Linked DNA regions of Mus musculus. The protein of the gene in region 1 interacts with the protein of each later gene in a biochemical or structural test. Links are inferred from orthologs where the notes say so. Each region holds a gene or a part of one and is shown in the gene's direction. Other genes may lie near its edges.

Evidence for each region.
Region 2: the proteins of Satb1 (region 1) and Pias1 form a complex in vitro, tested with the Homo sapiens proteins (2 studies listed by BioGRID, with this or other methods). The link is inferred for Mus musculus from reciprocal best matches to the Homo sapiens genes SATB1 and PIAS1.

Annotation. Positions count from the first base shown.
Region 1 is NC_000083.6:51,828,452-51,836,137, reverse strand, and holds the start of Satb1 (DNA-binding protein SATB1), read left to right. Parts: upstream 1-3,490; 5' UTR 3,491-3,668; intron 3,669-6,387; exon of another isoform or gene 6,388-7,686. UniProt on the Homo sapiens protein: Crucial silencing factor contributing to the initiation of X inactivation mediated by Xist RNA that occurs during embryogenesis and in lymphoma.
Region 2 is NC_000075.6:62,887,958-62,895,056, reverse strand, and holds part of Pias1 (E3 SUMO-protein ligase PIAS1), read left to right. Parts: intron 1-1,797; coding exon 1,798-1,928; intron 1,929-2,750; coding exon 2,751-2,931; intron 2,932-7,099. UniProt on the Homo sapiens protein: Functions as an E3-type small ubiquitin-like modifier (SUMO) ligase, stabilizing the interaction between UBE2I and the substrate, and as a SUMO-tethering factor. Catalyzes sumoylation of various proteins, such as CEBPB, MRE11, MTA1, PTK2 and PML.

The DNA of each region.
Region 1 (7,686 bases):
GTGGTAAGCTCTGAAACCGGAATTCCGGCCATTATAAGGCTATCCACTTAAGACATCTGATCACATGATCTGTAAAGGTCTGAATTGGCCAAGTAGCCATAAAAATAACATCAAACCCAGATCTTCTGACTGTGTTCTCTTCCTTAAGAGAAAATTTGAAAGTTACATTTGTTTATTGTGTGGGTGGGTGGGCCTGGTTCTTGCACTGAGGTCAGAGAGGGTAACTTTGAGGCGTCGCTTCTCTCCTTCCATCAAGTAGGACCTGGGAACCAAACTCACGTTGGGTAGGTTTGGGGGCAAACACCTCTACCCACCACAGCCCCAGGCAACAGGCATGTTCAAGGCTGTACCACAGTCAGAAAGGGAATTTATCTTTCTCCTTGACTCAAGGCCTTCACTCAAATCAGTTATCATTTCACATTCTCATGCTGCTTATTCAGTAAGGCTAATCCTGTTTTATCCCTTTCCTTGTATGTAGTGTAGAAGGCAAAACTGTACTCTCTCTCTTCTGAAAAGATCAGTGGCTATTGATATTAACTCCTATTATCTATATTTTGATATGTTTTAGATCTACGTGTCTGTCAACTACTTACACTACATTTGGATTTGTTAGAAAAATGAAATCAGGGGCTTTCGAGATGTCTCGGGGCTCTGGAGCACTGTGTGTTTCTGAAAGACTCGGGTTCGATTCCCAGCACCCACGTGACATCTCACAACCATCTGTAACTTCAGTCCCAGCGGATGTGATACAGATCTCTTCTGAACTCCCCTGGCACCAGGCATGTAGATGATGAACATATACACGTAGGCAAAAGACCCCCCCCACACACATACACATAAAATAAGATGATTAGAAGTATCTTTAAACATAATTATACCACTTCATGCTGGATCCTATAGCAAAATACCTTAGACCTAGACACTAAAAAGGTGTGTGTGTGTGTTTATGCCACTTTAGAGTGGGTGCCTATAAACTTAGAGTTTGTAGATACTGCCTGTTACTGACTGTTAGGGATGGAAAGGAAGGAAGAAGAGAAGGAAATCCAGGCTGTTGGAAGCAAAGTGAGACCTTACTCTAAATGATGGGATTTATCTGATAAGCTGAATTACTAGGTAAGCATATGAGCGTATAAAAGAGGAAATGTTAATGCATTTTTGGGCTTCTGTTGTGCTCCAATTTTATATGTTCACAATAATAATCAGTAAAGGCTAAGCTTGCAGAGCCTCCATTCTCACCTGCCCTGCTCAGTGGGGACACTGGCACCTAGTTAGACAAGTCCCTACTTTGGCAAATCAAGGCAAGAAAATTTGAAGTCACCCAGGACTTGAAGGGAAAAACCTGAGCCAGGAAGAGAAACTCATGTTTTATGTTGTTTTGCTCTTTGTAATCACCCATAGCTTCTTGCTTTGCTTTCCAGGGGGCTCGTTGGCTTGGGGGTGGGGGGGCGAGGAGGAAGAAGAAGGGGAGGAGGAGCAGAAGGGGGAGGAGGTAGTTCCCCAAATGAAAATTAGTTCATATTTGTTTATGTCCTTATGCCTTTGGCATGGTATTTTGAATTATAAAAAAAAAGTTGAAAAAATTGGAGAATTCTAGGGAAATCAAGGATGGACGAGGGGGCTCTCAGAAAGCTGCCTGAACTATGTCATTTTGCTTCATTTAGAATGACCTCACCAAAAAAACAAAAACAAAAACAAAAAAAAACCAAACCAAACCAAAAAACAAAACACAAACAAAAACTCCCACTGCACCGTCGACGTGTTTGCTACCAAGGCTCAAATCGCTAGTCACCCACCGTGTCAGGCTTGATTCATAGGCAACCGACAGAAGAGGACCTGACAGAGCTTTTAGGAAAAACTGAATTCTCAGCCCACAGTCACTTTCCAGGAACTTGCCTGCAAACAGCTCTGCGCTGGAGGGATGGAACTCCCAGCAATCTCAATCCTGCCACCCTGACTGCCTTCGCTCCACATACAATTATTTATGGGGACTTAATGAGAGAGCAAGCCTTATGTGAAAGAACGCAAGAAAGTGCAGCTGCTAAAAACAGACCCAGGCAGTTCTACAGTCCTTATTTTTACAACTGAGCTTCTGCAATTCCTGCCACGAACCTAACAGCTCCACTCCTTGCCAAACACACAAAGAGAAAAGTAAAAACTGTTTTCGTTCTGCAACCCCCTTAACTTCGAGTAAACAGTAGTAATTTTCTATCGTCACGTTCAATGCAAATTTCCCAAAGGCGACACAACAGGAAACAAAAGACCTGTTAGTTGATAGCTTCCTTAGAGCTGGGGGTTGTGTGGGGAAGGAGTAGCAGGGGAGTGGGTTAAAGTTGATAGAGTCCAATTTCTCCCTAGCTTGGGGGTCCAAGCCTTCAGCTACTTTGACCTTTCAGAGTTCTTTGGAGCTTCACCAGTTGAAAAGGTCCCTGGGCCCAGCCTCCCCTCCTACGAAATCCGCATTTCTTGACCTCTTTGCCCCTGCTTTTGGGTGGGTCAGGGTGGGAGAAGAGACTTGGACAGTGGCTTAAGCATCTCCTTCTGGTTGGGTGCGTCGACCTACAGCTGCCGACAGGAAAATGATACTGATGCAAATAGCTGGGGTTGAGAAGGGGGTCTGCAAGAGGCCCCCTCCTCCTCCATCCACTATGTGTTCCTCAATAGGGGTGCCCAAGAGAAGAGGATAGCAAGAAGAGCCCATCAGTTTGAAGGGAAGGAGGTCCCCTCTAGGAAAGATCTTCTCCATCAAACATTGAAGAGAGGGGAAAACTTGGCCCGCATGCCCCTACTGGGGAGCGACACACCCCACACAAGCTGGCTTGCGGGGCGCGGGGGTTGTGCTCAGGCCTCTCACCTGACTTCCTCCTCCGCTGGCACACACACACACCAATGCCCCGCGCTCTGCACCCCCAAAGCCCAGGCAAACAACGACAAGAGGAAGCGGCGGGCGGCGAGGGTGCGCGGCGGGGGCGGTGCAGGTGAGGGCCGGGGCGGTGGGGCTCCGGGGCTCGCCCACACTTACCCTGGCGGCCGCGGGGTCGCTCTCCCGCAGCGACCCTGCACCCGGGCGGCGCTCAGGGATGTGGCGGCTGCGGTGGCTCGGGCTCGGCTCAGCTCGGGCTCCACTGCGCGCTCTCGGAGCCACCGGCCGCCCAGGATCCTGCCGCCAGGGGGAGAAGCGGCCGCGGGCGCGGGGGAGGCAGGCCGGGCCCGGTCGCTCCCGCTGTGGGGTCCGCAAGCCCCCCACGCGGGCGAGAGGCGAGAGCGCGGCGCCCCAGGCACGCACGGCCCCCGGCCAGCGTCGGGGGGCTCTCGTGGGGGCGCCCCGATCGCCCGCGCCGCGCTCTACACTGCGGGCTCCGAGCGGCTCCCGCGCCCCCTCCCGCGCCCCGCCCCGCCCCCGCCCCTTCCCTTCCCCCTCGGCCCCGCGCGCTCCCCGCTCGCTGCTCGCCGCGCTCTGCCCCCTTTAAACGCCCACTTCGGATGGGGAGAGGAGACAACTTGAAGTCAAGTTGCCATTAACTTCCGCGGCGGCCGCCAGCTCGGCGGCGGGGAGGTGGCAGCAGCTGCAGCCGCCGCCCGGGAAGTCCGCCGCCCGGCGCGCCCGCGCGGGGAGCCGACCCGGCCTCGGCCCGCACCGCTGGCCCGCGCTGTCCCGGTTCCACGCCTGAGTGAGTCCCGCTTCTTTGCTCCCTGCCAGTGCTGCTCCCGCTCTGGGTCTCTTGCCCGGCTCGCCTCCGTTTTCTGCGGATGCGGAACCGATCCAAACTTCTCAGTGGCCCCGGCTGGGGCGACTCTGCGCCCCTCGCGTGCCGGGGTCTTGCTGGCCCTTCTCTCGAGCGCGCTCAGACATTCGGGAGGACTGGGCTGGTGAAGTGAGGGTCATGGCCGGGATGCGGACTTACTTGGCGTCTTTGCCTCTCCCGCACACCTGCCCGGCAGGAGTCCCTCGTTAGACACTTTAGTCCAGGTCGTGGGCATGGCCCGCTTTAGAGGACGAAGGCGGCGTGGGGGGAAGCCCTCGGCGGGCGAGTGGGGAAAAGGGAGCCGCTCAGTGAGCCCCGGTGCGGGGAAGGAGGCGAGGTGCGGGGTGGAGTTGGAAAGGTCGCGCGCCAGATCTGGAGTTCACTTAGCATCCTCTCCCATCTCATCTCCCCCTGTTCTTTCCCGGCCAGCCCTACTTTGCTGGTGGCGAGCGGAGGTGGAGAGGGGCCTGGGAAGTTTGTGGCAACTTCTCTATCCCGAGAGCCACTCGGGCGCTGGGCGCTCAAGTTGGAGCCCAGAGTTTGAGAGCCGAAGAACAGCGCTCGTGCAGCCCACGCCGGCGATCGCGGGTCGGTCCTGGAGGGTGATTCGGGTTTGGGCTTGGGCGGGAAGCCGAGGGAGGTACATGGTGTCTTAGCTGGGACTGTGGCCCCACAGGTGCAGCCCAGGGGGCAACTCCTCATTTCCCTGCGACAGTACACACCCGAGAGCGGCGGCCTTCTACAGTGTTCCTCCATTGCAGAGCTCCCAGGGTGGCCGAACTGGGGTTGGGCAGCTCGAATGCAAGGGACTGAGGGGGCAAGCGGCAGGTCCAGATGGTGACACGTGCGTGTGCTTGGCCCAGCAAAAGGCGCTAAACAGGTCCCTTCTGGGATGATCCCAGAAGACCAAGAGGACAGCAGCTTAGAGCTCAGGGTAGAGGTTTTGACCCTGGCCTCCACCAGGGCCAGGTTTTACTTAACAAGATGTCAACCACAGGCTCATCTCTTAAAATGTCCGGTTGACAACTTTGACCTCTGCACCCTTTCTGGGAGAACTTTCTCTGAGGCATGTAGGATTCCCAGGGTTAAGACGTGGATTTCACTTGTCCATAGGGACCGGAAGACACCCAATTCCCTGGAGAGAACCTTTTCTGCTCCCGATTGATTGGCTGGGGTTCCATGTTTGTATCCTTGGAGGCCAGAGAACCCAACTTTCCCAAGACAGAAGAGGGGAATGAGCAAGAGTCTGGTCTCTTTCTGCCAGAAGTCAGGTTCTGTCCTTAAGCAGTACCTGGATTTTTTACAGTGTTTGTGCCTGGTGACAGAAGCTCAGCCTTCCAAAAACTTTACTTAATTTTACACCTTGTCCAGAGTGGATTTTCTGAAAGAGTGAAATTTTATTTTGTAGTCAGATTCTCCAGATAGGTAGGTAGGTAGGTAGGTAGGTAGATAGATAGATAGATAGATAGATAGATAGATAGATAGATAGATAGATAGATAGATAGATGAGTAAGTTATGCCATACTTTAAATCCAAAGAAAGCAAGGGTTGCGGTGCTGGCTCTATAACCCTTTATGAATCTCCCATGTGGAACTCGGGCTATGACTTAGCAGCGGTTCTTTATTTCTATGGCATATTATTTTTGTAGAACAGTAGTAAGCGCATACACTGCCTGCTCCAGTCTGCTGGCAAACATTAGCATTCAAGCTTACATTTTTGACAAATGTGCAGACAGGAATAGCATGAATAGGCATCTTAAATATTAACAACCCAAGCATCTGTTGTGAAACAAATTTAATATATTTACTCAGTCTTTCTCACATTGTTAGGAAAGGTTATAATAAGTGCTTAATTTCAACTTAACTTAGCAGAAGTAACTGGCGGCATCATTCACTACCTCCCAAGCTCTAACACAGTTACCACGCAGAAATACTTTAATTAACTTGGTTAAGGGCATTGTTAAATAAATACATTTTAAGCAATGTGCATACTATATAACATGCAACAGTAGCGAAATAGTCATCCCGTTTGTATGCATTTTAAATGACCTCATCTTATAAATATACCAAGTATGTTTAGTCTTCATCTCTATTTGACACTTATTAGTTCATTTTTTTCTAATGGAAACAATATTTTAAATGTAGAGTTGTTCAGTCATATGTAATACATAATATGTAAACAGTAGCAATAAAATACAGAGCATTGTTAAATTTGAATATGGCTACATGTAACAAGGTTATGCAAGAGAAATAAAATCACTGCTCAATTTTGTTTTCCTTTCTGAATAATGAATACAGATGATGGATGAAAAAGGAACAAATAGGGATTTCCTCCCTGAAGTAATAGCTTCTTAAAATGTATGCGAGGTAGGGGAGGGAGAACAATGATAAAGACCTAAAGAACTTCCCAAATCCACATAGCTATTTCCAGAATCAATGCATTCCTTACTTTCCCACAAGCTGAAATATGTAATAAATAATAGTTCTTTGTATGTAAAAGTATTCAAAAGGAATGCCTTTTGTTCCCTTGTAATAAATTAATATATTCTTCTTTGGTTGATAATCTACAAAAGTAGTTCCTTGTCTCTTTGGCATTTTCAACAAAAGCAACAACAAAATGAATATTGGTTTATTCTTCAAAGAAGTCTGTTGCCAGCTATATGAACCTGTGACTGAGTAAGATATGATGCTGTTGAGTGATAGCTGAGAAACACCACAGTAAACTAGCAGGGTCTGAAAAATCTAGGAGGGAATCTCAATGCTTTTTTTTTTTCATGTGACAGGTTGTGGGTTGTAAATTAGGCCTAAAAGGTCAGGTGACAGGCACCTGTTCCTCATTATTGTAGAAAGCTTTTGGTTACAAACAGTGTTAAGCTAAACATAACATGGGTATGTAACAGGGATTCTCTAAAGCACTCCAGTAGTTTTTACCTACTCTGTAAATGTCTAAACAGGACATACATAGATAAGCCCTGTGTACAAACACTCCATTTCTTCCCTACATGTTATCTTGTATGATTGCAATTAATATTATGTTAGTACTTGTTACTGATGAAGTACATAAATGAATATGGCTACATCAATCTTCTAATTATGTCTAGATCATTGTAGTTGAATGCAAAAAATTTTTTTTCTTAAAAACAACCCTCTTTTTCCTTTGCAAATTATTGATTATGTTCATGTTTTACCTGGAAAACCTTGCCAAGTGGCCTTTTATACATTTTAGATGAATTCTCATTTAAAATGATACCACAGAATATTTTTTCTCAGCACCCATATATGAGGGGAAAATCAGCTGCTACATATTGCAGTAGCTTTGTGCCATACATAAACCAGAAAGAAAACCACACTGTACAGGAATGTAGGGAGGCTCTTCAGACCTGGCTGTTCTCTTGGGAGTATTCAGAGTTCTTCATATTGAAAAAAGAGAGCAGAGCTTAATCCCTATAAGTGGTTTCCTTTTACATGTTCCAGAGAGCAAACTGTGCGTGTATATGGAAAAGACCACACTAGCAGAAGGTGACAGAATATTAGAGGTGCCAATTGCTTTTAATTAGCAGAGGAGGAGGATTTTGAGTAAAGTAAATAACTCAGGTTATTCAGTTCTGTTATTAAAATATGTTCTTTATCCTTTTTGCCTTTAAATAGTTTGTGCTTTTTATATGAAGCGCTCCTTTTTAGTATTTGCTCTTGAAATTGATTCGGTTCTCATATTCCAAAACTCTGTGATGATTCTTTATTTTATAAATTGATTTACATTTTGACAGAATAGAGTTAAGTTAATTAATAGATCAGGCACAAAAAAAAAATAACCCACAGTAGGGTATATTTTCTGGTAAAATGAAAGTTATGTTTCAGCACGATGAGCATGAGGCTTCAGTAATCTGCTCCTCGTGTGCAATGAGCACTTCCTACTTCCAGCTAGCAGGCACCTACTGTTTATT
Region 2 (7,099 bases), on another chromosome or scaffold:
ATTTTGAGATTCTAGCAATTGAAACTCATCCAATAAGTAAATAAATAAACAAACAAATAGCTTTTGGTCCTAAACAAATGGCTTAGCAGTTAAGAGCTATACTGCTTTTATAGGTCACCCAAGTTCAGTTCCCAGCTCCAGTGTATCTGATAACCTTTTCTGGTTTCCATGTGCACATACCCCCCCCCCCCCCACACACACACACACAAATAATTTAAGCAATTTGTAAATACTACAGGTTCTTTTCAAAGTTGGGCTTTTTAGAAGAAGCTTGGCTTCTGTCCTGTCCACCAAGCCCTGCCACTTCTGTCCACTGTCAGGGCTCCCAGCCAAGGACAACCAGCTGATAGCAGTTCCTGTTGTTCTGCAGCTTCTGTTTCTAGCCTTGCCTTTCCCCTTTTGTGTTTTCGGTCTCTGTCCTCACCATTGCACACAGTGAGCAGAGGTTCTCCTTCTTAGCCATCTGTCTGTTGGTCTTGACCTGTTGATATTTGCCTGAGTCTGCCATTCCCCTTAGGTTTCTGGTTGCCTTTTTGCCACTGAACAAGAAACAAGGAAATGCATTGTGAAAAGAGAAAAATGCCTCCCTAATATTTCTAGTATTCTTCAGCAAAATACTCAAACAAGACAGATTATTTATAGTATATGAGAAAACATAAGAGCCTTGAAGACAATAATACAAGAATTGAATGTATTTGTCAATAGACTTACAACCCAGAGCTTTAAAAATGTTGAGTCTTGGGAGAATATGAGGAAGTAGTGTTTCCTGTTAGATTTTTCAGAAATGAAATGATAACTAATTTATAAATTTAGACTAATAGTAATATTTTACCACCTCTGTATAGTATTTATCTTAGTTCTTCCTTTTCTTATAATACAGATCTCTCTCGCTCTTTCAAAAACAGAACAGGAAATAAAAGGCATTTTTAATAAAACTTCTAGTTTAGTTTTTACATAAATTTTGATTATATGCTACTAATAACTTTTAGTACCAGTATATTTTATTTGGATTTAACTGTTGGTTGAACATCTTTTAAAATTTTATTTGTTTTATGTATATGAGTACACTGTAGCTTACTTCAGACACACCAGAAGAGGACATCAGATCCCATTTCAGATGGTTGTGAGCCACCATGTGGTTGCTGGGAATTGAACCCAGGACCTTTGGAAAAACAGTGTTCTTAACCACTGAGCCATCTTTCTAGCACTGGTTAGACATTTTTATATATATCCCTTCAGTTTATCAGATAAGATCTTTTAGCAATTTGCAAATATAGAATATAAAGTATAAAGAAAAAATTGAATGTATATAAAATTACCATCTAGAGATCATTAGTGTGTGCTTTTATTCACACACAGAATCTTGTTTTGAGATATGTTATTCCTTAACCACCTCAGTTTTTGTGAACATTTTTCTGTATCCTTAAAACTCTTGGGGATGAGATAAGGTGCTTGCTGCCAAGCCCAACAGCCTGAGTTTAAGACTTAAAACCCATGGGTGGAAGTAGAGAACGAACTCATACAAGTTGTCTTTAGACCTCCACATATGCACTGTGGCACCTACCCACCCATATAGCACAAACTAAAGAAATATTTTTAAGTTGTCGTTTCTTTCCAGGTTCCATGGCATCTTTATGTAAACTGTTTCCCGTGTAGCGCATGTGTGAGGGTGAATGTAGTTTGTCTGCTCTACTTCCCTGTCTTCCATTTACCTCTCATAAAACACCTGTGATCTAAGTGTTCTGAATTATGGTTCTCATGTCTCTTCACTTAAAACATGTTCTATTGTCTGTCTAGGTTGTTTATGGAAATTCTAAAGTACTGCACAGACTGTGACGAGATACAGTTTAAGGAGGATGGCTCGTGGGCTCCAATGAGGTCAAAGAAGGAGGTTCAAGAAGTCACTGCCTCCTACAATGGAGTTGATGGTGAGTGGCTTCCCTTGGCCTGGGTGGTTGCTTGCTGTTGTGCTACACCATGGTTTTTAATATAGAAATGCAGACTGTTGAAATTACTGAGCAGTGCAAATAGCTCAGTAATTCTTAGGTTATTGATTAAATGTCCACAAATAGCAGGATTCCTTTTAAATCAACTTTTTGCAAGCCTTAAGATGTTTATGGTACTAGATTTTCTTTTTTTCTTCTTTTTTTGTTTTCCTTTAGTTTTGTTTTGTTTTAGACTTTGGAGTCTCATATTTTGTATTCGCTTGGCTCTGCCTCCTGAATGCTAAGACCAAAGGTGTGCAGCACCATACTCAGCTACTTTTCTTTAAATATTTTCGTATATGTGGGGATAGATTTGACTTTGGTGATTTGCTAGGAGAGGACCAGTATTTTCTAGGTACTTTAGATGCTGTGTAGAAAAACATGTAACACACAATCCTGCTCTAAAACTACTTTTATTCTAAAGTAGATATAAAAGATGTATGTAGCCCTAGCTGTCCTGGAACTCACTATGTAGACCAGGCTGATCTTGAACTCATAGAGATCTTTTGCCTCTGCCTCCAGAATTATTGGAGTAATAAAGGCGTTAAGATATATTTTGATTATTCTAATTCAAAATTATTTTTCAAATAATTGATTAACAACCAATAAAAATGCCACCATTTTTAAACCCAGTAAAGCAGAGCTACCTTACTACATCGCTCTGCTACCCCGTGGTGTTGCTTTGCTAAGTGGATGTGCTCGTCTGCAGGGACACTGGGAGAAGAGGATTGACACGGGTCTTGCGTTTTAATCATTCTTGCACAGGTTGCTTGAGCTCCACATTGGAGCATCAGGTAGCGTCCCACAACCAGTCCTCAAATAAAAACAAGAAAGTCGAGGTCATTGACCTAACCATTGACAGCTCGTCAGATGAAGAGGAGGAAGAACCCCCTGCCAAGAGGACCTGTCCTTCCCTGTCTCCTACGTCACCACTAAGTAATAAAGGGTGAGTGCTGCTAGAACCTTTGCAAAACACTCATGTATGAAAGTTCATCTGCAAAGTAGGGTCAAGGCTGCCAAGTAAACCATTGTGTGTGAATACAAACTGGAGATGGACTCTCCTAGGGATGTTGTGTTTTTGATGAAGTAGAGTAGAGTTCTCCAAGAGTTTGTATATAGGATTCATCATATCAAGAGATGTTTCTGGGCCTCGAGAGATGGCTCAGCAATTAAGAGTACTTGGTGTGGGGCTGGAGAGATGGCTCAGTGGTTAAGAGCACCTACTGTTCTTCCAGAGGTCCTGAGTTCAATTCCCAGCAACCACATGGTGGCTCACAACCATCTGTAATGAGATCCGGTGCCCTCTTCTGGTGTGTCTGAATACAGCAACAATGTACTCACAAAGATCTGAATCCCAGGGCTCAGTGACCACAAGCAGTGACTGGGCAAAGCTAAAGGCCCAGAGTCACTCCCCAGAAGCCAAAGGAAGGAGAGGATTGACTCCGCAAGGCTAGTGTTGTCCAGTGGCAACCCTACAAGCAGTATACTCCCCCAGTATAATCACAAATAAAATAAAATCTTAAAAAAAAAAAAAAAAAAAAAAAGAGTACTTGGTGTATTATGCACAGTTCCTAGCACCCACATGGTGGCTCACAACCGCCTGTAATTTCCACTCCAGGGGATCTGATGACACCGTCTGGCTTCCAAGGGTGCACACACACTCACGCAGTCTTTAAAGAGATGACTCTGCTGCATTTAGCAGTTCTGATGCACATGAGGATCACCAAGAGGGTTTGGGTGTTGGTTTGGTTTGGTTTTGGGGTTTGTTTGGGTTTTTTTTGTTTTTTGTTTTTTTTGTTTTGCATTTAACCAGGGTTGTTTTGTTTTGTTAAGACTTGTTTTATTTGTATGTATGTGCTTGTCAGAAACAACCTTCAGTAATTGGTTCTCTCCCTCTACCATGTGTCAAACTTTGATTGCCAGACTTAATAGCAAGTGCAATAGCGAGGCAAATGGATCTCTGTGTGTTCCAGAACAACCTGATAAATGTAATGAAACCCATTCTTAGGAAAGAAAGAAAGGGTGGGGCGAGGGGAGAGAGAGAGAGAGGGGAGAGGGGGAGGAGAAGAAGGAGGAGGAGAAAAAAAGATGTCCTTTCCTCATATTTGAGGTGTTGCTCTCCTTTCAGGATCTGTTTACAGTCATTGTCCAGTTTTAGTCTGGTAGCAGCCATCCTGTTGAGAGTGTGTGCCGCATGAACAGTTGAGCCACTAGCCTCCCCCAAGTGGACTTGTTCAGTGTACACAGTACAGTTCTTCCTGTGAACTCCGGTGCTCTGCCACTCTGCTGGCCTTCATGCCCAGCCCAGACTTGGACAGCACAGTGCTCAGATACCTTAGTTAGCTCTTAGGAAATAGAGCAAGACTGATGTTCTCTGAATGTGAGGAGGCCCAATGAAGTGCCTTCCACAGCTCCTGTCTGGATCAAAACCCACAAAGATTAGATTTCATTTTTGCTGCTTGTAGGTTTTAGAACATTAGCTTAAAAACTGGAACCTACTTGCTGTAAAATGAATTCCAGTAGAGCACTTACAGTGGAAAGCTGGACACACCAGGTCATTGAAACTGGCTGCAGATGTGTGTGAGGTGCAGGAAAGAACTGCAGTGACTTGGGCTTCCCTGAAGTAGTCCTCTTTTGAAGACTTGTCTGTGGTTCCCAGGAGCCTCCCATCATGTTGTTCATAACCCCATCACTCATAAGACTGTTTGGGGCCACCTGGACTAGATGACATCCTGTCCAATAATATTAGTAGTCATAGTAGTGAAGACAACGTTGATGATGATGATTTCAACGTAGTAAGTGTTCTGAAGAACCTAGAGACCCAGATGGAATGCTTAGGTGACACATGAATTCTATGACAGACATATGAGGGACAAAATGTGACCTTGGTGGATCTGGATATCTTCAGCCTCCCAAAGAAATCAGGAGACAACTGTATTGTTATTTTTTTTTTGTGCTATGATTGCAAAATTAAGATACGTTCTTTTGAAAAAAAATGATACTTTCTAAAAAACAAGTATATAAATACTCTAGAGTTAATTTTACGGCTGTCAAAATAGTCATATGTGAACTCTGCAGTATTTTTACTATCTGAGTTTTTTTTTTTTTTAAATCAGGAAAATTTTGGAGTCTTTAGAAATCTAATATTTTTTCTTTGAATATTTATTATAGTTCTTCCCAAAATAGCCCTGTTTATTATGTTTGGAAAATTATATTAGTTGCATTAACTACTTTCCTGATTTGCCCATGATAAATTGAGCCTAAATACAGCTCTGCAAAGGCCAGAGCCTCCTCTGTGGATATGTAGCTAAAACCTGTATGTCTCCAGCATTTTAAAAGAATGGCTGCATCTGAGCACTGTAAGTGTTCACAGTGGCAACCAGCTGGTAGCTGTAGCATGAAGCCCAGCAGGTCGTTTGCCGCTGTGCATTATAACAAGGAAATACTTGAGAGCATTCACAAATAGAAGACAGGCAGCCGTCCACAACTGGAAAGAATCCGGTACTGTAGCACCTCGCTGAGTGTTCTATTCACCCAGAAGTTCCATACTGTTTGCTAGACTGAGGTGTTTGTGAAGACAAGCAGTCAGCTGCTTTCTCCTGTTAGAATCTCTTAAGCGTAGACAAGGACACAGCTGAGGAACGTGGTGTTTTCTAGAGGTTTACATTCACACTGATTGAAACACTTCTGTGCAGCACCTATTCCATTCAGAAATGTATAGTGCATATTTATAATTAGGATTCTGTTCCTGGAAATGTAAGCTTTGTGTCATTTGAAGTACTCTACCATTAAATTTGTACCTCCACCTACAAGTACCTGACATGGAGTATTGGAAATAGAAGATCAGGGGATGTGGTTCACTGGATAAAGTACTGGCTATAAAAGCAGGATGATTCCCCAGATTCTGTGGAAGGCCAGATCAAGTACCACGCATATCTAAATCAAGAAGGCAGACAGAGACAGGAGAAGCCCTGACACTCATAAGCCATCTGGCCCAGCATATCCATGAGTAGTGTAGGAATAGGCAGGGGAAGCTGTTCTCAGCCCTCCTTGTGTATGCATGCTGTAGCACCTGTGTACTACTCTAGTGCACAAACACACACTGCATTCGGAGTGAAGAGGCCTATATTTTTCCCTTTCTCATTACTTTGTTTTCCTCTGTGCCTGTTAGCCTTTCATGGTTAGGGGTTGTGTGGAGTGGTGCATAAATCTCCTTAGGACTGTCATAACTCAAAGTCAGTTCTTAAGTTTCTTTCTTCCTCCTTTTTTCTTTCATTTTGTTTGGGGTGGTTTGATTTTTGGGTTTGGTTTGGTTTGGTTTTGGTCTCGTTTTAGCATTTTGAGACAGGGTTTCTCTGTGTAGCCCTGGCTGTTCTGGAACTCACGCTGTAGAACAGGCTGGCCTCGAACTCAGAGATCTACCTGCCTCTGCTTCCCGAGTGCTGGGATTAAAGCCACAATCCACAGCCTGGCTGTCCTTTTTCTTTAAGGGAAGGAAGGAGACGGGTTTGGCATCTGGCTGATAAAGCCTGCTGGTGCTTTTCTGGAGTTCCTTTTTCCCTTCAGTTCAACCCTTATTTCTTAATACCTCTGTCCCTCCTTTATACTTTGGGACACTTTGGTGCCTTGTCTGCTGCTTTGATTGGCTTCAACAGCCCTATTATTTGACTATACTGATAGCTAAGCTAGACACTGGGTGCACCAAAGTCACTCCAGAGTTCACTCTGAGCAAGCTTTAAGTCAGCTTTCTTCTCAGTGCTCAGCTTGCTACATTGCCCTAGTTGTCTCTATTTTCCTTAACAGGGTATCTTAGTCAGGGTTTCTATTGCTGAGATGAAACAACATGACAAAAAAGCAAGTTGGCAGGGAAAGGGTTTGTTGGCTTACACTTCCACAGCACTGTTGATCATCTAAGGATTTGGGGGTAGAAACTCAAACAGAGCAGGAACCTGGAGGCAGGAGCTGATGCCCTCTGGAGAAGTGCTGCTTACTGGCTTACTCAGCCTGGTTTTTAACCAATCACTAGTTAAGAAAATGCTTTCCAGGCTCACCCAGGACTACAGAGGCACTTTCTCCTCTCAGATCAGATGAATGTGCCATGTGTCAAGTTGACA